Linked DNA regions of Ovis aries. The protein of the gene in region 2 purifies or fractionates together with the protein of the main gene of each other region. This does not show direct contact. Links are inferred from orthologs where the notes say so. Each region holds a gene or a part of one and is shown on either strand. Other genes may lie near its edges. The genes, in order: EXOSC4, DIS3L, EXOSC2, EXOSC1, EXOSC7, EXOSC9 and EXOSC8.

Region 1 (3,829 bases), on a different chromosome or scaffold from region 2:
TAGGGTCAGGACTGAGAAGACGCCAGGTGACATTATGTGTCTGTTGTACTTTTGGAGCCCAAGGGAAGTAGCAGGACAGGCCCAAAAGGCTTCTAGAGGGCAAGAGACCCTTCAGTCCCAGCCACAATCCAGAGGATGTGGGACACGGCCCCCACATGACCATAGTGAATACCCAAAGCCACCCCTCAGGACTTGTGCTCAGGACTCTGGATGTGTTGGGATGAGAATGACAGACTCCATGGTCGTGGGGCATGGCTCGTTATACCAGGCTGTGTCTCACTGCCCAGCAATCCCTTCTTGGCCCAGGCTGCTCACTTCATCCAGGGACATCCGCCTTCTTCAGGGTGCTCACCTGAAGCACCCTGATGAGCAGGGTGAGCAGCACTGAGGCTGCAAGGGGTGTGTAGTGCATGTCTTGGGGGCGGACCCTTAGTCATTGCTAGAGCCAGCACCAGGCCAGGATCCAAGGGCAAGGAAGTGCGGTGGGGAAGAGATAAAAGTACAGTGAAAGGTGCTTAGGTTTTATTCTGGGCTTGGGTGGCCCTGTGCTCAGTCCCCCAGCAAGACAGAGGCCTCTTGTACATGCTGCCGGACCACACGGTCCAGTACGGTATGTACATCCCGGGAAGCCCGGGCAGCGGCCTCTAGCACTTGCTCCAGGTGGTCCTCATGCAGTCTGGCATCCATCTCAAGCAGTGCAATCTGGCCTGAGGCTGGTAGCAAGGCCAGGGCCAGCTGGGGGCCCCCAGCTGCTTCCTCCACATGGCTGAGGTCTGCCAAAGCTGTTCCATCCACAAAGCCAGCTGAGCAGGCACACACAAAGTCCCGCATGGGTATCCCCGCGTCCAACACTGCCAGCGTGGCTGCATTCACACAAGCTGCGTAGGTCCCGCCGTCTGCCTGCAGCACCTGCAGGAACCCCCCAGTGGCATGAGTTTCAAGCTGCTGAACCCCAACTCCTCCTTTCTCTCTCCCCTCCACAGGCTGAGGGCTGCTGCCTGCTCACCTGCACATAGATGTCAATCTGGGAGCGTGGGTGCAGCTGTGTAAGGATGGCTGCCTCGAAGGTCTGACGCAGGTGCAGACCCATCTCACAGGACTTGCGGTCCCCGTGTGGCCGCCGCTTGCGCTCCCCTGTGCTGAAGGTTGCAGAACTGTACTGACAGTTCACCAGGGCCCGGTCAGGCAGGGCTCGTGCCCGGGAGCCTCTGATCTGGGGTAGGGTGGGGGAGAACACATGAGCCAGGCCCTTCCTCCCTCTACCTCCAACATCCCAACAAGCAACCACTTTACCTGCAAAACAACACAGCCCGAGGGAGGGCCATTGGGCCAGGCTCTAAGCCACCATCGTCCCTGGATCTCTCTCCTGACAGGCCTCCCTGTTTCCCCTCTTGACTCGTCCTCTCTCGACCCCATGCTTCCTTTGTATGAGAATCTGTTTACATATATCAAGTCTGATTCTACCTCCTCTGCACAATACATATACTGCTTACCTTATAAAGAGTTCCCATCACGCGTGAGATAAAAATCCTAAATCTTTTCCCTGTTTACAAAGGTCCTGGGTTCCTGCTTCCCTAGAAATCCCTCAGTCTCATTTGGAATTACCACCCTCTTCCCCATCACCAGTCTTTCTGCTCTGCAAGAGTGCCATGCTTACTTCTACCTCTCTGGCCTTAAGTCTCCAGCGCTGGAGTGGTGATAAACCCAAGCGGTTTTATTAACACTCTCTGTCTTCACGGAGTTTATGTTCCAGTGAGGAGACAAACAGTGAGAAATAAGTTAAACTGATGTCTGAGGAGGCGGGTGCGGGAAACCAGATAAGTGTGTGGATGTAAAGGAGGGAACTTGACTTGTAAAGGGTAGGTAAGGTGGTCTGGGGTGGGATGGGGTGAGGTGTCACCCAGAGGTGACGTCGGAGTGGAGCTGAGAGGTGAGGGAGCCAGTGAGAGCGGCCCTGGCGGTTTTAGGAGTAACAAAGCGGTGTAGCGAGCGCTGGAGAAAGGCAGGGACCGTCGTGCAAGACACTGTTAGGACTTTGGCCGCGGCCCCACAAGGCGGCGCGCGCCAGCCTCACCCCCGAGGCCTCTACTCAGCCAGGTAGCCCCTCACAGCCCGTAGTGGCCACCCCCGGAGGAAGCCCGGCTCGCGCGCGCCCACTCGCCTCGTGAGGCCCGTAGACCACCGCCAGCGCCTTGGTATTGCCCTGTTCGATGTAGGCCGAACCGTCGGCCTGCGCGAATACACCCATCCGCGCCTGGATCTTGCGCAGCTCCCCAGCGCGCCGCCCGTCCACTCGGTAGCCCTGGTCCGATAGGAGCTCCAGCCCAGCCATGCCGCCCGGGCGCTAGCCAGGCTTGAGCGCCCGGCAGAACTACACTTCCCGGTAGAATTGACTCCCCACTTCCGATTCCCCAGGACTACGGTTTCCGGGGCACCGACTCCGACTTCCGGTTCCGGACCCCTGCGATTCTCCCAGAGTTCCCGAGGGCACCACATCTCATTTCCGGTCCTTGCGGAACTGCGGCTGTGGGCCCGGGGAGGGACCCTTGCGGCCTTTTGGGGTACGCACTCGCGCCTGCAGGGCTGGAGGCATGCCGGACGTGGAGTCGCCGTGTCGTTTCTTCCCGGGTTGGTCATGGGGACGGCTCCCTCTACCATCCGGGCCTGCCCGCCCCGCGCCGCCGCCTCTCCCTCGGCCTCTCCACTGAGCCCCGCGCTTCCCGCGCCGCTGGCGCTCCTTTACTTCTGCTTGACGCTTGGTATCTCCCTCGAGGTTTGCGGGCGATAGCCGCCACTGCTGGTCTTAAGTTCTTCCGCGGTCATAAATGCAGGCCTTCTCCCAAGCTGAGATACACTCTCTGTTCGCAGTTGTTTTTTTTTTTTCTTTAAACCGTTTAGTTTTTACATTTGTCCGTTTAAAAAGCAGACACATTTATGTTGTACGTACACATGGTCAAATTTTTTAGTTTCAATTTTCCATGTTGCCTTGTTTCTCTGCACTCATCCCCCTATCTACTATAGCTTAAAAAATGGCTCCGTTTTTCTTCACACTCATAATTACATCCAGGTCACACACAGACACGTGTATATGCAGCTGTACATGTACAGCCATATAGTGGCCTTTGGAACTCTTATTTTTTAAAATGCGATTGTTTCATACACTTTTGCATTTAACTCAAAAATATAAAATCTGTCCAAGTAATCCTGTGGAACTCATAGTTTTTTGGTTGATACGAGTATCAAGTAATAAGTAGAATGTACCCAGCAACCACCCCATTGTGGGCAGTGGATGTGTGTCCCGGGGTTGAGTGAAGGCTGTGTGGGAGTTAGATTCTCCGTCCTTTCCCACCTGGAATAAATGTTAAAAGTTTTTTACATAATCCTTCCCTCTTCAGAGGGTTACTGCCATTCCTCTTGCATTTCGTGGCCTGATGTCAAATGCCCTGGAACAGCAGAGGGGCTCACAGGAGGGGGGATGAGATGTTTTCCTCCACAGCTGCCTCCTGTTTCCAGATACCATTTGCTTGGTGGTCAAGGTCACCATCAGGGAGCTCATTACCCTCCTCATTTGCATTATTCGGGCTTCTCTGGTGGCTCGGCTGGTAAAGAATCTACCTGCAGTGGAGGAGACCTGGGTTGGGAAGATCCCCTGGAGAAGGAAATGGCAACCCACTCCAGTCTTCTTGCTTGGAGAATCTTATGGACAGAGGAGACTGGCGGGCTATAGCCCATGGGGTTGTAAGAGTCAGACACAACTTTAGGGCATTATTCAGCCCCTCTGCAGTGCTTAGAAACCAGATCCCATGCTTCAGGTTTGAATAGGGAAGGA
Region 2 (3,500 bases):
GTCAGACATGACTGAAGTGACTTAGCACAGTTGCAGAGCACGTTATAGTCACACACACACACAATCCTAGTGCTGATTTCTAAAAGCGGTACCTTGTCCTAGCTTCAATGTCAACGTAAGAGTGTGGTGCTACAAAGTACGTCACATCTGCAATGTGGACTCCAAGCTCCAGGTTGCCATTATCCAAGGCTCGGACCGACAGGGTGTCATCCACATCTTCACAGCCGCTGGGGTCGATGCTGAACACCAGGTGGGTTTTCCTCAGGTCTTTACGTTCTCGTTCCTCTTGGGAATTTACCTTCCAGGGATTTTCCGGTGTGTTGACTGGCATCTCACACATCTGTACAAGGAGAGGCCCAAGATTCAGCAATTCTGCACCAGAAGTTTCCATAAAAACTCTCTAACATTCTCCATGTGACCGCATAGAAACCCCATTCATTACTCATTGTGTGCGTGTCCGACTCTTTGCGACCCTATGGACTGTAGCCCACCAGGCTCCTCTGCCCATGGGATTCTCCAGGCAAAAATACTGGGGTAGGTTGCCATTTCCTCCTCCAGGGGATCTTCCCGACCCAAGGATTGAACCCGAGTCTCTTACGTCTCCTGCATTGCCAGGCAGATTCTTTACCACTCGTACCACCTGGGAAGCCCCTCATTACTCACTACCTTCTACCTATGTTTGTTTCTTTTGAGCAATAATTATTTATTAGGTGCCTAATAGGTGTCAGGAGCCGTGTGAGGTTCTGGAAAGTCGGGACTCAATAGGAAAGACACAATCTGCATGCCCTTGAAGGCTCTACAGGAAATGTTCCAGAGCATTTACGGTCTCTTAAGTTGTGAGGGTTGGAGCAAGAATGAATGGGTGGCTTATAAAAAGTACAATATCTACCGCATTTTCAAATGATCCATTTGTTTAAATATATTTGAGCTTTTAATTCAAGTCAAGCCCTGAAAAAAATCAACATGTCCCAGATATTAAAAGCATATTCCCCTTTTAAAGCAGGATCAATCTTGGGCATTTTTTTCTGCATTATTACCTATTCAAGCCATCAATTTGCAGTTAAGTAGGCTAAAAGGGAAGAATTCTAGTCCTATGAAGTCTAATTCATGTTTTATTTTGTTCCAACATTTTCACTAAGCTGTCAAAACAAGTCAACAAATGATTTCGAGATACTAATGTTAAACATAAAATTTTAATAATGTAAAATATTCTAAAGTATTTTTACTATTATAGTTACTATTCTGTCAAAAATTATAATGAAAATAAGAACACTCATATGCTCTTAATGACAATGCAAACTGGCCCAGTTTTTCTGGAGGACAACCTGCCAGTTCACAGCAAAAGCTATTTAAATTTTTTTATGCCCTTTGACTTGGTAATCTCACTTTAAGTATTTTACATTCCAAAGAAAATGATCAAAACATTAAAAAAAAAAGTGATGTTTATGAAACATTTGAAGTAGCACCTTTTATAATACTGAAACATTAAAAATCCCAAATGTTCCACAACTGAGGAAAGCTTAAGCAAACTAGAGTACATCAATATAGAGTAATTTGCCATCATTATTAAAAATAAGTAGGCTATGTCAGCACATAGAAATAATTTTAAGTGCAAGAAGCAAAAAATAGCCTGTGTGCACTATGAATATAGCTATGCAAGAATAATAAACAAGATTTACGAGGATTTTTAACAGATCATAATGTGATGGAAAGAGCTGATGCTTTATGTTCATATAATTTTTGTTTTCCGTACACAGAAATGATTTCTTAATGAGCATGACTGTTCTGACCCATGGGTCAGAGATGTATACCCAAGAAGCTGCTTCCCACAGCTTTCTGCAGGCCTCTGGTTGAATGAACAAGACAAGGAGCAGAGCCCAGTGGGTCTGTGACAACTAGGTGCCCATGTAGTTCCGGGGGACGGATGCATACTGACTATAAGCTACTGACATACCATTTGTAAGCACAGTTGGAAACATGTAAACATCTGAGAGCTATGAGGCTGTAAGAAACTAACTGCACTTGACATTGACTTCAATCTCATTCAAACACAGAGTTAAAGAGGAATGAACTTTTCCCATTAGCTCTGGTTTAGACAGCAGTTTGTTACACAGTACAAAAATTTTTCTTTCTTACCAACAGGACAACAAGGGCAAACAAACGAAAAAGTAGAAAATGCCTTTTATCAGACCAAAGGACCGGGGCCAGGCTGACCTGAGCTTCTGAGAAGGGGACAACTGAGATGTTGTTTTCCACCAGGATGGTTGCAATTTCCCCTTCCAGATCTCCGATTCTCCCTAGAACACGCACGAAATGTCCATTTGGGTACATGGATGTCGACTCCCAGGAGTCGATGCGCACGACCACCCTGAAGTCCTGCACAGAGAGGGGGAAACACAAACCCAGTGTCAGGAGTTAAGTGGGTCAATTAGCAACACCAAACAAACAAGGGATAAAGAGCATTGAGCTCCACAGAGAGTGGCCAATTTAGTAATACAAATAACCATCTTCTTTTCTTTTTTTTTCCTTGTATTGGGTTCTTCCTGTCTTACTAAATTGCCAGATGGTAGGTAAACGCTTAACCCAGTGCTTTGAAGGGAGGCATTACCTCTCTGCACCAAGTAAGAGGGCTGGAGATGGAAAGCTGAGGAACAGAGCCACCTATGATACATCCTAGTTAACATAGGCAGCCCAAGGGAAAAGCCCAACTATGCCCAGTCCAGATGAAATTTCAAAGCAAAAAAATTTCAATTTGTGTGTGTTTTGGAGTTACTTTCTAATTTCTTAAGACATCTTTTGGTGGGGAGAAGGTTATCAGCGTGAACCGAACCTCACTGCCCCACATTCCAGCAAGCCACAGATACAGAAAGCAGCTATTGCACCTGGCCTCTGAGAGCCTGAGTGAGGCTTCAGGATGGAAAGGTACACGATGAACAGGTTACAGGCTGGGGACATCCTGCTTCAGCGTCTCATTTACAAACTACAGAACATCGGGCAAATCAGACTTGGGTGATGCCTACACCCTTTGCCACAGTAAAGGTTAATTTCTAACTTTCTTGTTTACGTCTTCTCTCCGGGGCTCCGTTCCTTTATGGATAATCGATTCTGCGAAGTACCACTATATCATCCCCACAGGGCAGAGCAATCGTATTTCTATATCACTTGCTGGAAGAAAGCTTGTTAGCGTTGGCAAAGTGTATCTATTGGAAGTTTCTGTGTTGGACAGCTGGATAATGAATGTTCTCTCCAGCTGTCCTGCACAGCTCTTTCTAGGACAGTTTCTCTCTGGCCTTCATTTATTAACCAAGGACTACTTAATAGATGGTTCTATATATTTAGAATTTTTAGAAAACAGGATCTCGGAATGCCACATGCCATCAATAATTTACCCCTTCTTATGCAAAGAAGTTAACAGCGTTTCCTGCTACTGCTCGAAAGCTGGCAGAGACCAGAGGCGAAGAGAGGAGGTACCTGGAGGGCTTCTGCTTGTTGAGTGCTGA
Region 3 (3,500 bases), on a different chromosome or scaffold from region 2:
CTGTGCTGACCTTTGTGGGCCCGAGGCCTGTAGCAGACGCGCCATCTGCGGGATGTGGGCCTTGAGCTCACCTGCCAGGACCGGGGATGTATTTGTGCCCAGCCCTAGGCCAGTCCCCTTCTCCAGTGGCATGTCTTGTGGGCAGGCCAGGCGGTTGGGGTCAAGGGGAACAGGGCAGTGCTCCTTGGCCCTCAAGAGGCTCAAGCCCGCATCTTCATTGGCTCCACCTTCTCTCAGCCGTCACACCAGCCCTGGATCAGAGCATGATGACGCTTGCAAAGGAGAATAAATGGTGGAGGAGAGTGTGAGAGTCGCCTTCTGTTGGGTGTGTAAGTGACACCTGCCTCCGGAAGGTGTCTCTCTCTACTGTGCATGCGCGTTCATGCCAGTTATCACCAGCAAGGACCCCGATTCCAGCCTCCCTAGGACACAGTCTGTACTCTGCTTCATAGTCGCCTCACTGGTGATCCTAGTGACTTAATGTACAATATATTTTTTTTTAGCTAGGTCAGGGCGTTTTGGTTCAGGTCTCCCCCTCCCTGGTGAAACGGCAGAAGACCCACTTCCATGACCTGCCGTGCGGTGCCTCAGTGATCCTGGGCAACAACGGCTTCATCTGGGTCTACCCAACCCCCGAGCACAAAGAAGACGACGCAGGGGGTTTCATCGCAAACCTGGAGGTGAGCACACGCCGCCCGCCGTTGCCCTGTTGGATGCAGAGGCACTGAGTGGGTACTGTGCTTCTGCGGCAGGTGGGGGCGCTCCCCGTCTCTCCCTGCTGCGTGGCTGTAGTTTGAGCTGGTTTGCATTTCCACTGAAGTCTGCTCAAAACATCGTGCTGCCCTCTCTTGTTCTGGAGAGATGAAATCAGTGACTTTGATCTCTGCTGGCCCAGATGGCAGTTGCAGGGTAACAGCCAAAAAGCCACTGGGGAGCCATCCTTTTTCATCTTCCCTGGAGTCAGCAGTTTGCTTGGTTTGGAGTCCCAGAGTGATCCCGCCTCAGTTGTACGTGGTTCCTGTGATCTGCTGTAACCATTCACTCATTCTGGTCTTGATTCTGTTTGCCTCCCCTGCTAGCCGGTCTCCCTCGCCGATCGAGAGGTGATCTCCCGGCTCCGGAACTGCATCGTCTCACTGGCAACTCAGAGGATGATGCTCTATGATACCAGCATCCTGTACTGCTATGAAGCATCCCTTCCGCATCAGGTATGCCACCTAGGGCTCCCCTTCTCGCTGTTGTGTGAGCAGGCGTGCCGTGTCATCCGCTCCGTGGCCCCCCACGTCCCTTCACCATGCCCACCAATATGAACTCACCTGGTGGACTCCCTTGTTGGCTGGTAGAGCTTTCCCCGAGATGCTAATAATATTCTCAATGTCTGATATCCATGTGAGGGTTTGTGGGCAGTTGGAGGTGCCAGGTGGGGCTGGTTTATGACAGCGACCCCCTGGACTTCATCTTGGCCATCCCAGTTTTAGCTGCCTTTCTAGGGAATGCTGGAGTAATAGCATTGTTGTTCTTGTTAGCTATATCCCAGAGAACCTTGCTGATTTGTTAAGCTAGTTCTAGCAGATCCTTCCTTGCAATATGTAGCCTCTGATAAACGAAAGGAAAATGGAAGGCTCGTGTTAGCCAGGCTTGGTTTCTACATTTGGGTTGGCTTGATGGTGTGCTTACTGACTGAACAAATTACCTTTTGTCTTTTCTTTTTCAGATCAAAGACATCTTAAAGCCAGAAATAATGGAGGAAATTGTGATGGAAACACGCCAGAGGCTTTTGGAACAGGAGGGGTAAGAAGAAGCATCTCAAGGCCAGGACTGTGTGGACCCAAGCAGAGCAGTCCTTGAAAGTGGAGAATCTGATTGGCAGTCCCTGCATGCAGCTCAGTGAAGAACCGGGAAATTCATCACTGGACCTACATCAGGCTGCCTCTACCTTGAAGACCTGCTTTCTCCTGTTTTAAGGCAAAGCGAGGGGGAATGTGATTACTGCTGCCAACCCCTTGAGTTGCCCACAGACTTCGGGTGCTATGGGTAGTTTCAGACCCTTAAAAGCATTCCGAGTTCCAGCCGAATAGACTCCTATCCTGGAATCATACGGGGAATCTTTTGTCTTGTAGTCACTGTCAACTCACCAGGCACAGTGCCCCATGAAATTGCCCCTATATAAAACATAGCCTCCCTGATCCCCCCAGTTGTCAGTTTTGGCCTCCATTCTCACCTCCTCTGCATCTCGAGAATGACACTGAAGACTGTAGCTTGGTAAAATGAGCCCAAGAGTCAGTGGAAGGACACAGCGACCGGGGAGCCTTTTGCTTGGTTGGTTCTCATTTCCTGTTACATGTTCCTCCTAGTGACAGATGTAAGTACATCCCCGCCAGGCTGCCTTAATCTGTTCTGCCTTTGAGGATGATCTGTAAGAAGCTGAATAATTGAGAGAGAGAATGAATGTTTTGGGTGCTCTGATAAACGTGAAAACAAAGTAAAAAAGTGGAGATGGAAAAAGAAAAGGTTTTCCTCCTATAACTGAAGCAGCAATGCATTTGATTTTGAATAATTCAGGGTTGAAAGGTAAAAACTAGATACTGAAGTTCTGTGTAACTGAGAATGGCTAGAATTCCTGTGTATTTTTCAAATGACTTTCTAAACATGGTGCCCTGATTTGGGTTTGGGGTAAACAGTTCTTTTAAAGTCAGTATATGAGAGTGCTATTTGGTGAGCTGTTTGGTTTTTTTTTTTTTAATTTATGTATGTGGCATCACTGTTTCTGTTCTTGTATTCTGTGTAATACTTGGGAGTTAAATACAGGTGAAGGATGACTTGGGAGACAGAAATTCTTCTGACAGAGGCCCTTAAATTTAAACCCAGAACACCTAGTACAATTTAACCCTAGGACAGTTTCAGTAGTGATTTGGAGCATATGACAGTTTTGAAACATAGCTCAGCTCTTTTTTGTTAAATTGTACGTCTTTATAATATTCAGTCTGTCTCCTGTTTTGAGGAGTTTGCAGTCAACTGAGTGTTGCCCAGGCTATGTTGCAAATGTAGGTTTGCTCCCTGTTTTTGAGATCATGTTCTAGGTTGTATGTCCCTGAAGGGAAGGGAATGGGGAAGGAGGGGAGCCTGCATGCCTGGTTTGGGTTGGTTTTGATCAGGGCTATAAGTGGGTTTGTTGAATGTTTGCCCTTCTCACTTGGTCTGCCAAGCTGCCAGCCTGTAATGTTCACTCAGTATATCCTGAATAGTGATTACCTACTAAGTGGTACTTTTCTTGTGGCCCACTAGAGGGTGCCCTTGTTAAGCATAATTTCAGTAAGTTTTTTTGTTTTTTTTTTTAAATAAAGCTGAAGTTTTTACACCGGTTCTGAATTCCTCTAGCACTGTGTAGGTTGCTTTGCTTTATAAGCGTGAGCACAAAATTAGGCTGAACTACGTCATTCTTAGTGGAATATATGAGCTTAAAGGGATTTATTCAAATTTGGCAACATTTATTTACTTCT
Region 4 (4,019 bases), on a different chromosome or scaffold from region 2:
TGGCAGTAATTGGGACTCCGTTTCTCTCATCACAGATATGACAGGAAGCTGCAGAGAGAAAAATAAAACATGAATATTCTGGCTAAGCCTTGGATAAAGGTATTTGAGACTTGACAGTAAAATGGGAAACCTTGGGCCACAGTAGACGTCACATGGGCAGGTGGACAACAGATTCATTTGTAGCCCAGAGCAGAAAGCCTTAGAAATTTTAGGATACAGGAGGGCCAAGGGGCCACAGAAAGAAAGGTGTAAGAAGATATAATCTTACCACTTCAGATGAGTTCTGAGTTTTTTTGTGATTTTCTTAAGAGTTTTTCCACATACAACTACATTGCCTGTAATCATGGATAATTTAACTCTTTCCTCCAAAGTTACATCTTTCTTTTGGTTTGTCATTTTATTGGACAGGCTAGAATTTTCAAATAAATGTTATATAACAGTGGCCATACTTGTTTACTTCTATTTAACACTTGTAGAGTTTCCTCTTTGAGCATGGTACTGGCTATTGGTGCAGGAAAGATATTTTTGAGCCCGATCTTTTCTTAACCTTTCCCTTGTTCAATATGCTTCAGCTCTCCTGGTCTTTTTTCAGTTTCACCAATTCACGAAATTTTTTCCCATCTCAGGATCTCTTTTCAACCTGCTCTTTCTGCTCACTCACTCAACTCTTATTTATCCTTTAGATTCAGACTAAATATCACTTCTGACTAGGCTGGATTTACCTATTACATGTTCTCATGGTACTCTGTAATATTGTTTCAGAGCAGCCATCATATGTGTAAGTATACCTTCATTTGAGCATTTATTTGCTTAGTTTGTATCTGTACCCCTTGATAGCAGAGACCACATATATTTGGCTCATTATCACATCCCACAGCTATAAAATGAACAAACTTTCAAATCCTAGGGAAATTCCCCAAATTGATCAAATACAAAAGTCTCTCATTTTATAGGTAAGAACCTATAAAGGGAGTGAAAGTTTCTTACCTAAGGCAGAATTAAGGTTTAGTCAATACTGAATCCTCTTTCTACTATGCTCCCAGTTTCTAGGGCGTTCCTGGTGGCTCAGCTGATAAAGAATAATCTGCCTGCAATGTCAGAGACCTGGGTTCGATCCCTGGGTTGGAAAGATCCCCTGGAGAAGGGAATGGCTACCCACTCCAGTATTCTGGCCTGGAGAATTCCACGGACTGTATAGAGATTTGGGCTTCCCTCATAGCTCAGTCAGTAAAGAATCTGCCTGTAATGCAGGAGACCTGGGTTCAATTCCTGCGTTGGGAAGATCCCCTGGAGCAGGAAATGGCAATCCACTCCAGTATTATTGTCTGGAAAATCCTATAGACAGAGGAGCCTGGTGGGCTACAGTCCATGAGGTCTCAAGTGTCAGACACGACTTAGCGACTAAACCCATGCCCCCCACCACCTCCAGTCTTTAAGCTGCTCCTCCAAGAACTGCTTATCTGATCCCAAGCTAATAATGGATCAGCCTCTGGAACCAGGGAGAATAATATTATTCATACATTCAATAAACATCTACTGAGCATTTACCTCGCGCTACGTGCATAGTAGTGGAAGGGTCTAATGGGGAACTTATAACTGAGTGTTAAATTGCATGCTGAACTAAGTGCTTAGAAAGGGAGTAACAGCTCTTGGGACCTCCCTGGTGGTCCCATGGTTAAGACTCTGACCTTTCACTGCAGGGGGGATGGGTTCCTTCCAAGATCCTGCATGCTGCCTGGCAAAACAAACAGGCAAACTGACCCCAACAGTTCTTTGTGAGTGTTAAAACAAACAAAAAACAAAACTCCCTTTTTTGACTAGTGGTGTCTATAGGGCTTCTCTGAGAAAGTGATAACTAGTGAGGTTATCTAAAGGGTGGTGGTGGTTTAGTCGCTCAGTCGTGTCCGACTCTTGCGACCCCATGAACTGTAACCCGCCAGGTTCCTCTGTCCATGGGATTTTCCAGGCAAGAATACTGAAATGTGTTGCCATTCCCTTCTCCTGGGTCTTCCCGACCCAGGGATCGAGCCCGCGTCTCCTGCAATGGTGGTGGATTCTCTTCCGCTGAGTAGGTAGGATTTAATCGGGCTAAGGAAGAGAGGAGCGTGTTCCAGACAGACGGCGTGTGTACAAAGACTCTGTGGTCCACTGGCGATATTGAAAAAGACAGTAGGACTTCTGCAAAGAGTGAGGCGCGGGTAGCGGAGCGAAATGAAGCCAGAGAAGCAGGCGACATTCGGCCAGGATTCAGCTCACAGCACGGCTGAGCTCGCCTCCGTTCTTTCCCCAGCTTGCTTCCCGGAGGGTCAGCAACACAGCCAAGCCAGACAACACAATTAATTTGTGATGGCTAAGTGTCCAGCAGCGGGGATCCCAGCTGTCAGAAACTCAGAGACTAACTCCTTCTCCTAAACCAGGCACTAAAGACGCGCTCGTAGGACCCTGCCTAAAGACAGTGAAATCAAAGGCAGCGTAAGACAAAGAGACAGAAGAGAAGGGAAGCTGCCCCATTTACCGCGCCGTTCTCGCTGGTCTTTGTCAAGCAGCCAGCAAGCGACGAAAAGATGTAGCCGTGCCGGGTGTAGGTGCCGCTGCCCGGGCTGCCCTCCTCCAAGTTACACAGACGTTCGCCTGCGGAAAAAACGCTGCATCAGCCACGGGTCCGCTGAAGCTGTTGGTCGTCTGGCCTTCTTGCCCCTGTCTCTGCCCACGATTTGCTCTAGATACCGCTGACTTACCGGGGATGCAGTACCTCACGGGTGGCGCCATGACTGCCACTGTTCCAAATCCCGAGGAAAATGAGGCCGACCTCTCATTGGCCAATATCCAGGTGCAGTTACGCAGTAAGAAACGCGCTAATTGGTGTGCTCTATCTGTAATCTCCGGAAGCGCTTCCAGAAGACGTAAACTCCATTTCCCAGGTTGCATCGGGACGAATTCGGGGGCGGGGCTTCGGAACTCTCGCGCTTGCGCCTGTGGACAAGGATGGGCGGGCGGTGGGTCCGGGTCTGCAGGCTGGACCTGTGGGCGGTGGGCCATGGTTGGTTGGATTGAGCAGGGCCGGTGGACGCCGAGCTGGAGGGGGTGGCAGTGAGCTGCGGCGGAGGCTGCGGGGTTCGACTTGGCTGATTGAGGAATCGGCCAGCGGCAGGTAAGAGCGAAGCTGCGGCCTTTTCTGCCCAGTCCTGTCGCTTTTAATAGGGTCGGGCCCTGTTCCCGGGCCTTGTGAGCCCGAGTTCCTGCTCTGCACGGCCGTGCCCTCGAACCGGACGGAACACACCCTCCGGGCAGCCCTGAGGCGTGGAGCTGGAAGGTCACCCCAGCCAACTCGCCCATTTCACAGATTTGGAAATTCATCCCCAGGGATAGGATTAGAATTGTACAGTATCTCTAAAATCAAGATAGAGACCGAACGGGTACTCAAGTTATTTTTTACTTTCAGTCTATCATTCTTTGTTGAGAAATAAAACGTTTCCTCAGTTTCTGTAACTGCAGTCTCCAATCTTGCGGAAGCGTGCTAGTCTGGAAGGAAAGTCTGCATGAATTAGTGTTGCTTTTACTGATGATTGACACTTGCTGCTTCAGGCAGTAAACACCCTGAAAACAGCATCTTTGTTCAAATGAGTTATGTCGACTTTGTTTCCTCTGCTCTTCGGTGTCTTTGGAATCTATGTGTGTCCTCCCACCCCTAATAGCCCCCATGTCCAGTTTCCCCTTGGGAAAGAGTTGGTGACTGAGAGCCTTGGGGAGAGGAGAGTGCTGTGACCTACACTCCCCTCTGAACTGGTGGCACGTGTCACTATGTTGGTAGGACTGAGGGATCAGAGTGTTCAAGGCTTGTGTTGGGGGTGATGCTGCTGCTGCTGCTAAGTTGGTTCAGTCGTGTCTGACTCTGTGGGACCCCATAGACGGCAGCCTAGCAGGCTCCCGCGTCCCTGGGATTCTCCAGGCAAGAACACTGGAGTGGGTTGCCGCTTCCTTCTCCCATGCAGGAAAGTGAAAAGTGAAAGTAAAGTTGC
Region 5 (2,300 bases), on a different chromosome or scaffold from region 2:
ATTCCGTGTGGGCCTGGAAGCGTGTAAATGGAGATGAAGAGGGATGGGGGAAAGCCCCCCACGGCCTCTGGGTGGGTTGCTCCCCTCGGTGCCCCCAGGCCTGGCAGCAGCACTCGGGCGCTTTCCAGCTGCTCCTGAACTGACTGGTTGGCACTCCCATCCCCTCCACTCCTGATAAAGCTTAGACACTCAGCTGGTTGTGTGTCTGCCGCCCCGGCCACTATAACCTCTCCTGCAAATCCAGGTCCAGATCTCGCAAGCCCTGGTGGCCTGTTTGTCTCATTTCCTATTCTCTCCCTGTCTTCATTCCTATGAATAATCAGTTTCCCTAGTCAGTGTCCCCTACTTGGACATTTTTTCCTTTTCTTAATGTTGCGATAGAAATCTTTCCAAAGTCACTTTGGACCTTAATCCTGATTTCGCATTTCATAGACTCAATCCCTTCCTGGTCTTTAGACTAAGCTCTTCTCTTCATGAGTTTTCGTGATATGGGGGTCTCATCCCTTGTTATAGTCCGGGGTCGGGAAAAGCCACACAGCCCTGGGGAGAGTCCACCGATGACTAGGAGGACTGGGGTGGGGCCAGGGCCTGGGTGTCTTTCTCCCTGACATTGTCGGGGATGGAACCAGTAGCACAAGTGAACTAAAGCTGGTATGAGACCATGGAAGGCTTGGAGAGGAAACTTGTAGTCGGTTCATAATGTTCTTGAAATGATTCATGTGACCCAAAAACAGTTGCATGAAGAAAGATTTTTATATAGTTGGGATTTTTTTGTCAAAGCCCCCTTCTGTCAGCTGTGTAGGGGGCTAATTAGGAAATCTATGGCGTTGTCTGACCTCGTGACATGCCTTGATCCCAGTAACGTATGCTTTTAGCATCTCTGCATGGCAGTAACATCAAAGACTCTATTCAGGTATTGACTTTGGTCCTATCTGAGCAGGTCTCCTTTGGTGGCAGGCAGATTAGACACTGCTTGTTAAAAAGGGTTCCCAGCACCATCTGTTCCTTCATCAGACAGATTCTGGATTCCCCGTGGTCTCCCCATGCCTTCTCTCTGCAACGCAGTGGCTGTAGCCAGGTTCTGACGGGGCTGACTGTTCTGCTGCTTCCAGTGGCAGCAGCTAAGGACCGAGGCCGCTTTTGTTCCTTTCTGCTTGCTGCTTGGGGGCTGCCTTCTTCTTTTTCCCCTTTCTCAGAATAGAGGCTTTCCCAGAAGGTTAACTACTGTGGTGTCGGGGTTTGGAGGGTTGGGTTTTTTTTTGGCAGCACCTGGTCTTAGTTGCAGCATGCAGGATCTTTAGTGGTGGCATGTGGGATCTATAGTTCCCTGTCCAGGGATCGAACTCGAGCCCCCTGCATTGGGATTGCAGAGTCTCAGCCTCTGGACCACCAGGAACTCCCTGGGGTTTTTATGTTGAATGAAAGTCCTGTAAGGCCGATGGCATGTGTGCGGCTTTGGAATGGCTGGTTGGCAGGGACGCTTCTCTCAGTCAGAGTACGTGTGCCTCACGGGCGGGCGTGTGCCCTCTTCTGTCTGCCCTTCTCCGTCCTGCAGACTGGCAAGCGCGTGGGCAAGGTGCTGCATGCCTCCCTGCAGAGCATTCTACACAAGGAGGAGAGCCTGGGGCCCAAGAGACAGAAAGTCGGATTCCTGGGCTGATGTGCACAGCAGCCTCCAACTGCCGAATGTTTGTCTTCTCCTTTTCCCTGGAAGCTGAAGTTTGTATACATTGTTTTCTTAACTGCTGTGAATTTAAGGCAACATTTGTACATGTGAAATTAAAGTCTATTTTCTGGTCTCGTGTGTGGTATGGCTTGACTTCTTCAGCTGTACGCCAGGATGCCATTTGTGGCTCCACCACAACTGACCCTTCTCTAGGAAATGACAACTAAGTCCAGAGACCTGCTCCAGTGGAGGACTCTGGTCCCAGGCCTCTCCAGGGAGACTTGTCTCCTGCTGCAGGAAATCAGAACAACAAACACACACACTAAAATAAGACCTACCAGAAAAATAGTTCAAAGGAACTGCTTATGATATCAGAGTCAGTTCAGTCGCTGAGTCATATCTGACTCTTTGCAACCCCACGAACTGCAGCACACCAGGCCTCCCTGTCCATCACCAACTCCCAGAGTTCACCCAAACCCACACCCATTGAGTCAGTGATGCCATCCAACCATCTCATCCTCTGTCGTCCCCTTCTCCTCCTGCCCTCAATCTTTCCCAGCATCAGGGTCTTTTCAAATGAGTCAGCTCTTTGCATCAGGTGGCCAAAGTATTGGAGTTTCAGCTTCAACATCAG
Region 6 (3,483 bases), on a different chromosome or scaffold from region 2:
GTCCAGTACAAATTATGGTATCTATTACTTTTTAAATGGTTTTAATTTGTATATCTTTTGTAAATGTAACTATCTTAGATATTTGGCTAATTTTAAGTGGTTTCTGTTAAAGTATTAATGATGTCAGCTGTCAGGATAATAATTAATAAATTGATTTGGAAAATTTGGTTTGTAAGTCAAATTTAATTTGAAGTAAAAATTTGACTTCAGGATTTCACTCAGAAAAATTCATCAGGACTGGGAAGGCTTCTCCTTCCGACACACAGGTGCTGACATTCACTTCTTTAAGAAACTGGGCCAGCTGTGACTTGGGAATAATCTGAGACCGTCAGGCCTGTGTACACACTTCTTCATTCGTCAACTTTCAGTACACTTGACCTACCAAAATGACAGCTATTTAAAACCTGTAGAGTTCTCCAGGCATTTATTTTAAAGCATAATGTAAAAAACTGTATAAAGAAGTAGATTTTATGATGGATTTGTGAATAAAATACTCAAGATTGTTAGCACTGAATAAATACCTTTTTAATAGTTATATACACAAATATACAACTTTGTGAACTTTAATTGGCCGCTCTCTTCTTTTTTCTTTTCTTCACTGGCTTTTTACTTGGTGCTTTTACTTGTGTTGCACTGATGGTCTGTGTTCTGTGAACAAAGTAAATTAACGTTTCAACAGTATTAGTACTATGAGCTGATTCCACAAATGGTTTTTACCAACCTTACTTCCTACACTGCCCCCTACTTTGGTGATCCAAACTACTTTTTCCAGTAGGCTGGATATTTACCAACTATGGCAGAAGAATACTGTAACCTTGAAAGGCACCCATGCAGATGTATAGAGAAACCATAGAAAGATCTGGATTGCTAATGCAAAAGGTGTCTGTTGAGAGGGTAAGATGACAATAAACCAGAGAGCAAGCCTCTAAAGAGTCTTGAGTATACATTTGAAATAAATGAGAAATTTGTTACCTTATTTTCTTTGGATTCTTATCTGGTTCTAAAATGATCATTTCTTCTTCTTCACTGTCTGAGAGCACTATAGGGGCATCTTTAAGAAAATGTTAGAGGAATTAGATTTCAGATAGAAGAGGCCCAGTCATTTTGGCTGGAGGCTTACAGATCTGTTTGGTTCTTCTCTTCCCTGAGTTTATTCATTGGAGCTCTGAAAAACCATGTGTGCTGCTTTCACAGAAAAGTTAGGGGGGTAAATCTATATATTTTGTAGATACAGTGCATCTTTAATAGAACTAATCTGGAAACAAGTCAGTATGCCAACTGAATTCCTTGTGCTTTTTAAAAGATTTTTGCCAAACTCCTCCAGAAACTGTGTCAATTTAAATTCCAAAAAACAGTATATGAAGAATCCATTTCCTACAAATCCATTTCCGATCCACATAAGAGTTTTCCATTTCTTCCTTTGTTCGTATGTGTGTGCTAAGTTGTGTCACTTGTGTCCGACTCTTTGCGACCCTAACGGACTTGTAGGCTCCTCTGCCCCTGGGATTCTCCAAGCAAAAAAACTGGAGTGGGTTGCCACTTCCTCCTCCAGGGGATCTTCCCCACCCAGGGATCGAATCCGTGTCTCTTAGGTCTCCTGCATTGGCAGGTGGGCCACCTATATATATAAAGGCATATATAGTTTAAAAAAAAAAAAGTATCAAGCTGAGTAAGGGTCCCAAACAATGGGGAATTTTTTTTTTTTTTTGCCTTAAAAAAAAAAACCCCAGTAGGTTCTTAGTAATATTTACAGGTAATAATCTTCCTCAAAGGTAGGCAGGTATGAGCAACTATTTTCTCAGCCAGATTTAGCAACTGTCCTTTAGGTCTCTACCAACCTACTTTATGTCTACATAAATAATTCATGATAGAATTTTACTTTCCTTAAAATATCCACAGGTGAGAACCATTTCTATAGTTCAGTTGCTTTCAGGATGCCAGGAACATCTGGGACTACCACTGTTCATGCACATGTAGAATGTTGTGGGTTCTCATACAGCTCTGTTATGGTAGCCCCATGTGGCAACTTAACTATACCAATTAAAATTCAGTATTGGGTTACACAAGCCACATTTCACTGCTCAACAGCACTGGCCTAGAGGCTACTATGCTGGCCAGTGTAGACAGAACATTTCTAACACTGCAGAAAGTTGTATGGACAGCACTATTCTAATACATGTATGACACTTCCTTTTTATATTTGAGGCTTCCCAGCTGATTCAGTGGTAAAGAACCCGCCTGCCAATGCAGGAGACGGGGGTTTGATCCCTGGGATGGGAAGACTGCCTGGAAGAGGAAATGGCAACCTGCTCCAGTATTCTTGCCTGGGAAATCCCACAGACAGAGCCTGGCAGGCTACACTCAGTGGGGTCGTTAAGAGTCAGGCAACTTGGTGACTGAGCATGCACTAAAAACTATACAAAGAAAAAACAGCGTGCACGAATGAGGTTTAAGATACTTATCCTTTTACAACTGCCCTGGATATATAATCAAAAGAAAAAAAAACCTTTTATGCCACTCTCCTCACATATCAAAGAATACCACTGTTCTACAAAGTATATTCTTAGAACTAGGAGTTAACATTGCAGTTAGCCTCAACAGTTGAAATTTAACATTTAGTCCCTCTAAATAAGTAACTGCTAATATAAAAACAAGATTTCTAAGATATATATGTATATATATACACACATTACATACAGCCATAAAGTATCACATACCTTGGCTTCCAATATGAGAGACGTCTACTCCTGCGTCCATTTTTATACCATCAAGGATGACAGCTTCATCATTGCCACCTTCATCCTCATCTTCCTTCTCAGAGTCTTCAAGATGACCCCAGGAGTTTTCTATTCCCTCTCCAATTTGGGCGGTCCCAGGAGTCCACAGCACAGGTTTAGAAACACTTGGCAAGTTAAGAAAACTGAGTAACAAATATACTGCTATTTGATGCAGTGTTGAAACAATTAGAATGTAAGTTCTCTTCTGTTAAGTCTGAAGTTCACCTCAAATTATTAGGAAAAAAATTATCAACGGCTATACTATGGATGGCTGAACAATGAAGAAAAAATGTAATTCAGGTTAAGATTTTATGGACAGAATGGGTGACAAATATCAAGACACACACACTGGCTTGGAACATTTCAGTTGTAGTAATAAATTTGGTGAATGAATCAACTTTAAGAACAATGTAATGATGTATATATAGGGCTTGACTATGTCACTGAGATTCAAGAATTTTTCCAAAGGAAAATAAAACACTGAAAGTTGTTAAAGTATAAACTTTTCTGATTTCTGAGAAGAGAAGCTGAAGAGAAGGCAGATGTTACACCATCAATTTACTTCATCACTCTCTTGTCTTGTAAATGTTTTTTTCTGTTTTCAGAAAACAAATTTCAGTATGCACATACTTCACACAGCCCTAATCATGCCACAAGTATTATAAATCTTGTTTTTACTGGAAAAAAAAAAAAAAATCACCCAGTA
Region 7 (4,245 bases), on a different chromosome or scaffold from region 2:
CCCTCTCCTCACCAGAATCAGGGCCGCGGCGGCCAGCGCCACGCCGAGCACCGCCAGCTGCAGCAAGACCGGAGCCATCCTCCATGCCGGGCCGCCAGCCGCCCTATCCCGCGTTTACACACACGCGGAAATGCGGCCGCGCAGCCCCGCCTCCAGCCCGCAGAGAGGCCATGCCAGCTGGGCGCCCGCCGCCCACAGCGCCACCTCGCGGCCAGACCCGGTCACGCCCGGGGACCCGCGCTGCCCACAGCGCCACCGCGTGACGAGACTATGTTGTGTGCGAGCGGCTCTGTTCAAACGCAGTAGGGTTGTCAAAATCAGCAAGGAGAAATAAACGGATGTCCACTTAAATTGAATTTCAGATAGCAACGGATCGGTTTTCAACAGCACTATTAAAGTATAACACACACTCAAAGTTCGCCCATTTAAGAGCTTTTTGTTATATTAACTTTGAAAAACTGATCAAATTTCCCATTTTAACCAGTTTATGTGTCTACTACAGGGACATTGACTGCACTCACAGCTTCCTGCAACCATCACTACCGCCTCTTGCTAAACCTTTCCCAGTTCTCCCCCAGCTTCTGGTAACAACTAACAACATGAACAATTTTGCGTGTACTCTTTGTTCACCTGACATTCAAATTGAATTGGATGTCCTGCGTTTTATCAGCAACCCTTTCTAGGAAGGAGGTGGAGTGGAGGTTTTGAGCCACGACACAGTCTACAACGAAAGTTGTTTCTTTGGAGCCCACTCTTGGCAGCTGCGTAATGTAACCTGATGTGGATAACCAGCGCACAGAATTTTTAAATTTTCGGTGCTCTAGCAGGAGGCTTTTACCTGGAAGAAGGCAAGCCCAGGGCTCAGCCTAAGGAGGAGGGGGAAAGAACGCGGAAACACTGGAATAATGCTCCACGCTCAACACTTGATTTTTTGCTATACCGTCGGTTTTCTCTGAAACTTTTGAATGGTGGGCTTCCTTGGTGGTTCAGCGATAAAGAATCCGCCTTCAATGCAGAAGACGCAGGAGACATGGGTTCCACTCCTGGTTTGGGAAGATCTTCGCAGTTTAGTATTCTTGCCTGGAGAATTCCAAGGACAGAAGAGGCTGGTGGGTTATAGTCCATCGGGTCGCGAAAAGTCTGATTCTACAGAAGAGACTAAGCACGCACGCTTGAACTATCAAACTGTTTCTAAACAAACACTCATAACTTTCGTAAAAGCCGATTCGCCAAAAACGTCAAGGTCAAGAAAACCTAAAGGGGCGACTGGCTAGGGGTGGTCGAAGCGAAGCCATGCGGGAAACCACCCTCACCTCTTCTACCTCTACTCTGGTCCATACAACCCTGCCTTCTACATATCAGGTAGCAGAATCAGTGTTGAAAGTGCTGAAGCGAAACAGCAGCGCGGGCCGGAGGGGTGGTGATACGCAGGCGCGGGCGCGGGCGCAGGCGCAGATCGGCGGGCGGAAGATGGCGGCTGGGTTCAAGTGAGTGCGGTAGGCTGGCGGGCGCGAGTTCGTAGCCTGGCGGTCGGCGGCTTCCCTACCCTTGGGATTTTCTCATCGGGAGGCCACCCCACCTGGTTCCCATTTGTTTCCACTGCAGAAGGAGACGTTGGGCGGGAGAACTGAAGGTGGTCGTAGTGAAGGGAAAGGGCGCATCTTCTCCCCAGTGATAGGAAGTACTGTGTTGAGCAGGTACCCGCTGCGAGCGCTAGGCTTTGTGTGTAGTGGACTTTGCTGCACAGGAGAGACACTTGTAATCTTGTAGAAAGCGTTGCTTCAAAACCTCAGGGCGCCCTGCTTTCTCTGCCCAGTAGTTTATGTGTAAAAGCATTCTGCCTCGTTAGAAAGGTTTTCCTTAAGCGTTTTCGGTGCTGCTCTCTGGGGAAGGCTATAGCTTTTCGTTCTGAGTCGAGTTTTAAATGGATGCAATAAATAGGATTCCAAAGGAAACCAGTTATATTGAAACGACCATGTATTTGTATAAACTCCGGGTTTTTGACACAGTGAAATATCTGTTTTGAAATTAACTTTCTTAGATAAGGCCTAGTGGGAAGTCTAAAGTAACTCCTGAAATTCGAAGTAACGATACGTCTTACACTTACCATAAAGTCAGGTCGCTCAGTCGTGTCCGACTCTTTGCGGGTCCCATGGACTGTAGCCTGTCAGGCTCCTCCATCCATGGGATTTTCCAGGCAAGAGCGCTGGAGTGGATTGCCATTTCCTTCTCCAGGGGATCTTCCCGACCCAGGAATCGAACCTGGGTCTCCCGCATTGCGGGCATACGCTTTACCGACCTTAGGCAACTATAAAGTAAAAACGAAAACATCTTAATCTGTGGTTGTTAAAGTCGCAGGTACGGCTAATATTATAGTGGTTTATTGCCTATGCTTGTAATCGAAGAATATGCTAAATTTAAGTCGGGGTAGTGAAAATAAATGCGTAATTTTTTTTTTTTTCCTACTAACGAAGTATTCCTGCTTCAAAGTATGAGTGATGCACACCTGGATTCATTCTCTTTTTAAAGAGGCCTAGGGTTTTGGTCTCGATCCTTATACTTGTTTAAAGCAGAATTAAAATCAGTCTTCGAGTGTGATTGTTATTGCAAAAGTAGCTACTTTTTATAATTAGCAACATGTGGCAACATAAACTAGAATTCATAACAGAAACTTAGTTACAAATTTTGGAGATTTCTGCTCCATCACCCCACTATTAAGATTGTTGTGTTTCTGGATTTATATTGATTTATAATTTATCTCATTTTTCTCATGTCTTTCAGAACTGTGGAACCTCTGGAGTATTACAGGAGATTTCTGGTAAGTAAAGGTGATTATGTGATGCCCTTTGATAATGGTATCATATGCTTTTTTCATAAATACAAGTATTAATCATGTTATTCACCTAATGTTCTAAGTATACTTCAGTTTTTAAAAGACAATTTTAAAGTAATACAGATTAATTTATTTGAATTAATGAGGTTCAGTGTGTTTTCCTTGGTCTGTGTAAGATATACATGTAGCTGTAATCTACTTTCATATATTTACTTAGAAAGAGAATTGCCGTCCCGATGGCAGAGAACTTGGTGAATTCAGAACCACAACTGTCAACGTAGGTGAGAGTACTTTGAGTTCTAAAAGAATGTTGAAGTTGCTTCAGTTCTGAAAATAGAATTTTTTTTCTTAATAGCAACTTTTTATTTGTAGAGTTTTTTTTAACTCACTCTCCTCTCATTAGTGGGCTTCCCAAATGTCTTGGTGCATCAAGAATCTACCTGCAATGCAGGAGACAGGTTTGATCCTTGGGTGGGGAAGATCTCCAGGGGAAGGAAATAGCAACCCACTGCAGTATTCTTGCCTGGAAAATCCCATAGACAGAGGAACCTGGCAGGCTACAGTTCATGGGGTCACAAAAGAGTCACATACGACTGAGCAGCTAAGCACATCCTTTCAGTTTTTATGTTCATATTAAATTTTAAAGTAACTCTGAAGTGTTTTCCCCCTTCAAAACTTGTAAGGTTTGGTTTCCTTCTATATCTTACATTATTAAATCTTCTGTTGCCAAACATGGAATTTTCCAATTTTACCCATATGACATTCCCAGGTTTTAGCCTCTGAGCCATTTAAACGGTGTTTTAGACAAATTCTACCAGGTCTAAGGGATTACAGTGATTTTTGTCAAGAAATTTTAATAACAGCCCTGTGATTAAATGACAAATGATTCACTCAAAATCAAGAAAATGAATAATTCCTAAAACAATTCGGTTGACCCTTGAACAGTGAGGGGGTTAGGAGCACTGACCTTCACAGAGTTGAAAATCCAAGTATAATCTTACCGTTATGGATTGGCACTCCGTATCCAAGGTTCAGCATCCTTAGATTCAACCAACTGTGGATCACGTAGTACTGTGGAAGTATGTATTGAAAATAATCTTTGTATAAGTGGACCTGTATAGTTCAAGCCCATGTTGTTTAAGGGTCAACTATAATTTTACCAAGACTCAAGCAAGGAGTAAATTTTCACGGACATCTTAGATATTTAGAGATAAAAATCATACATAAAAGAAGAAAACATTTTCATTTTAAAAAAATACTTTTCAGGTTCGATTGGTACCGCAGATGGTTCTTCTTTAGTGAAGCTTGGAAATACTACAGTAATTTGTGGAATTAAAGCGGTAGGTTTAATATACTTACTACCAAGATTTGAGTTACTAAGTTAGCTTCATATACTTAGTAGATTATAATAT

What was found.
Region 1: the proteins of DIS3L (region 2) and EXOSC4 purify together in Homo sapiens (affinity purification with mass spectrometry; 5 studies listed by BioGRID and IntAct, with this or other methods). This does not show direct contact. The link is inferred for Ovis aries from reciprocal best matches to the Homo sapiens genes DIS3L and EXOSC4.
Region 3: the proteins of DIS3L (region 2) and EXOSC2 purify together in Homo sapiens (affinity purification with mass spectrometry; 5 studies listed by BioGRID and IntAct, with this or other methods). This does not show direct contact. The link is inferred for Ovis aries from reciprocal best matches to the Homo sapiens genes DIS3L and EXOSC2.
Region 4: the proteins of DIS3L (region 2) and EXOSC1 purify together in Homo sapiens (affinity purification with mass spectrometry; 4 studies listed by BioGRID and IntAct, counting the BioPlex papers as one, with this or other methods). This does not show direct contact. The link is inferred for Ovis aries from reciprocal best matches to the Homo sapiens genes DIS3L and EXOSC1.
Region 5: the proteins of DIS3L (region 2) and EXOSC7 purify together in Homo sapiens (affinity purification with mass spectrometry; 3 studies listed by BioGRID and IntAct, counting the BioPlex papers as one, with this or other methods). This does not show direct contact. The link is inferred for Ovis aries from reciprocal best matches to the Homo sapiens genes DIS3L and EXOSC7.
Region 6: the proteins of DIS3L (region 2) and EXOSC9 purify together in Homo sapiens (affinity purification with mass spectrometry; 3 studies listed by BioGRID and IntAct, with this or other methods). This does not show direct contact. The link is inferred for Ovis aries from reciprocal best matches to the Homo sapiens genes DIS3L and EXOSC9.
Region 7: the proteins of DIS3L (region 2) and EXOSC8 purify together in Homo sapiens (affinity purification with mass spectrometry; 4 studies listed by BioGRID and IntAct, counting the BioPlex papers as one, with this or other methods). This does not show direct contact. The link is inferred for Ovis aries from reciprocal best matches to the Homo sapiens genes DIS3L and EXOSC8.

What each region holds. Positions count from the first base shown.
Region 1 is NC_056062.1:13,710,299-13,714,127, forward strand, and holds EXOSC4 (exosome complex component RRP41), read right to left. Parts: upstream 2,392-3,829; 5' UTR 2,333-2,391; coding exon 2,162-2,332; exon of another isoform or gene 1,214-2,161; coding exon 1,007-1,213; exon of another isoform or gene 984-1,006; intron 910-983; coding exon 550-909; 3' UTR 501-549; downstream 1-500. UniProt on the Homo sapiens protein: Non-catalytic component of the RNA exosome complex which has 3'->5' exoribonuclease activity and participates in a multitude of cellular RNA processing and degradation events.
Region 2 is NC_056060.1:13,195,134-13,198,633, reverse strand, and holds part of DIS3L (DIS3-like exonuclease 1), read right to left. Parts: coding exon 3,472-3,500; exon of another isoform or gene 2,512-3,471; intron 2,377-2,511; coding exon 2,215-2,376; intron 341-2,214; coding exon 93-340; intron 1-92. UniProt on the Homo sapiens protein: Catalytic component of the RNA exosome complex which has 3'->5' exoribonuclease activity and participates in a multitude of cellular RNA processing and degradation events.
Region 3 is NC_056056.1:5,926,555-5,930,054, reverse strand, and holds part of EXOSC2 (exosome complex component RRP4), read left to right. Parts: intron 1-503; coding exon 504-680; intron 681-1,079; coding exon 1,080-1,208; intron 1,209-1,714; coding exon 1,715-1,795; 3' UTR 1,796-3,500. UniProt on the Homo sapiens protein: Non-catalytic component of the RNA exosome complex which has 3'->5' exoribonuclease activity and participates in a multitude of cellular RNA processing and degradation events.
Region 4 is NC_056075.1:18,489,760-18,493,778, forward strand, and holds the start of EXOSC1 (exosome complex component CSL4), read right to left. Parts: upstream 2,801-4,019; 5' UTR 2,770-2,800; coding exon 2,739-2,769; intron 2,632-2,738; coding exon 2,516-2,631; intron 49-2,515; coding exon 1-48. UniProt on the Homo sapiens protein: Non-catalytic component of the RNA exosome complex which has 3'->5' exoribonuclease activity and participates in a multitude of cellular RNA processing and degradation events.
Region 5 is NC_056072.1:54,150,486-54,152,785, reverse strand, and holds the end of EXOSC7 (exosome complex component RRP42), read left to right. Parts: exon of another isoform or gene 1-1,555; coding exon 1,556-1,660; 3' UTR 1,661-1,800; downstream 1,801-2,300. UniProt on the Homo sapiens protein: Non-catalytic component of the RNA exosome complex which has 3'->5' exoribonuclease activity and participates in a multitude of cellular RNA processing and degradation events.
Region 6 is NC_056059.1:3,758,415-3,761,897, forward strand, and holds the end of EXOSC9 (exosome complex component RRP45), read right to left. Parts: intron 2,903-3,483; coding exon 2,718-2,902; intron 1,052-2,717; coding exon 973-1,051; intron 649-972; coding exon 564-648; 3' UTR 501-563; downstream 1-500. UniProt on the Homo sapiens protein: Non-catalytic component of the RNA exosome complex which has 3'->5' exoribonuclease activity and participates in a multitude of cellular RNA processing and degradation events.
Region 7 is NC_056063.1:24,979,936-24,984,180, reverse strand, and holds the start of EXOSC8 (exosome complex component RRP43), read left to right. Parts: upstream 1-1,445; 5' UTR 1,446-1,470; coding exon 1,471-1,487; intron 1,488-2,781; coding exon 2,782-2,818; intron 2,819-3,050; coding exon 3,051-3,114; intron 3,115-4,099; coding exon 4,100-4,173; intron 4,174-4,245. Other genes in the region: ALG5 (dolichyl-phosphate beta-glucosyltransferase), read right to left, coding at 13-78. UniProt on the Homo sapiens protein: Non-catalytic component of the RNA exosome complex which has 3'->5' exoribonuclease activity and participates in a multitude of cellular RNA processing and degradation events.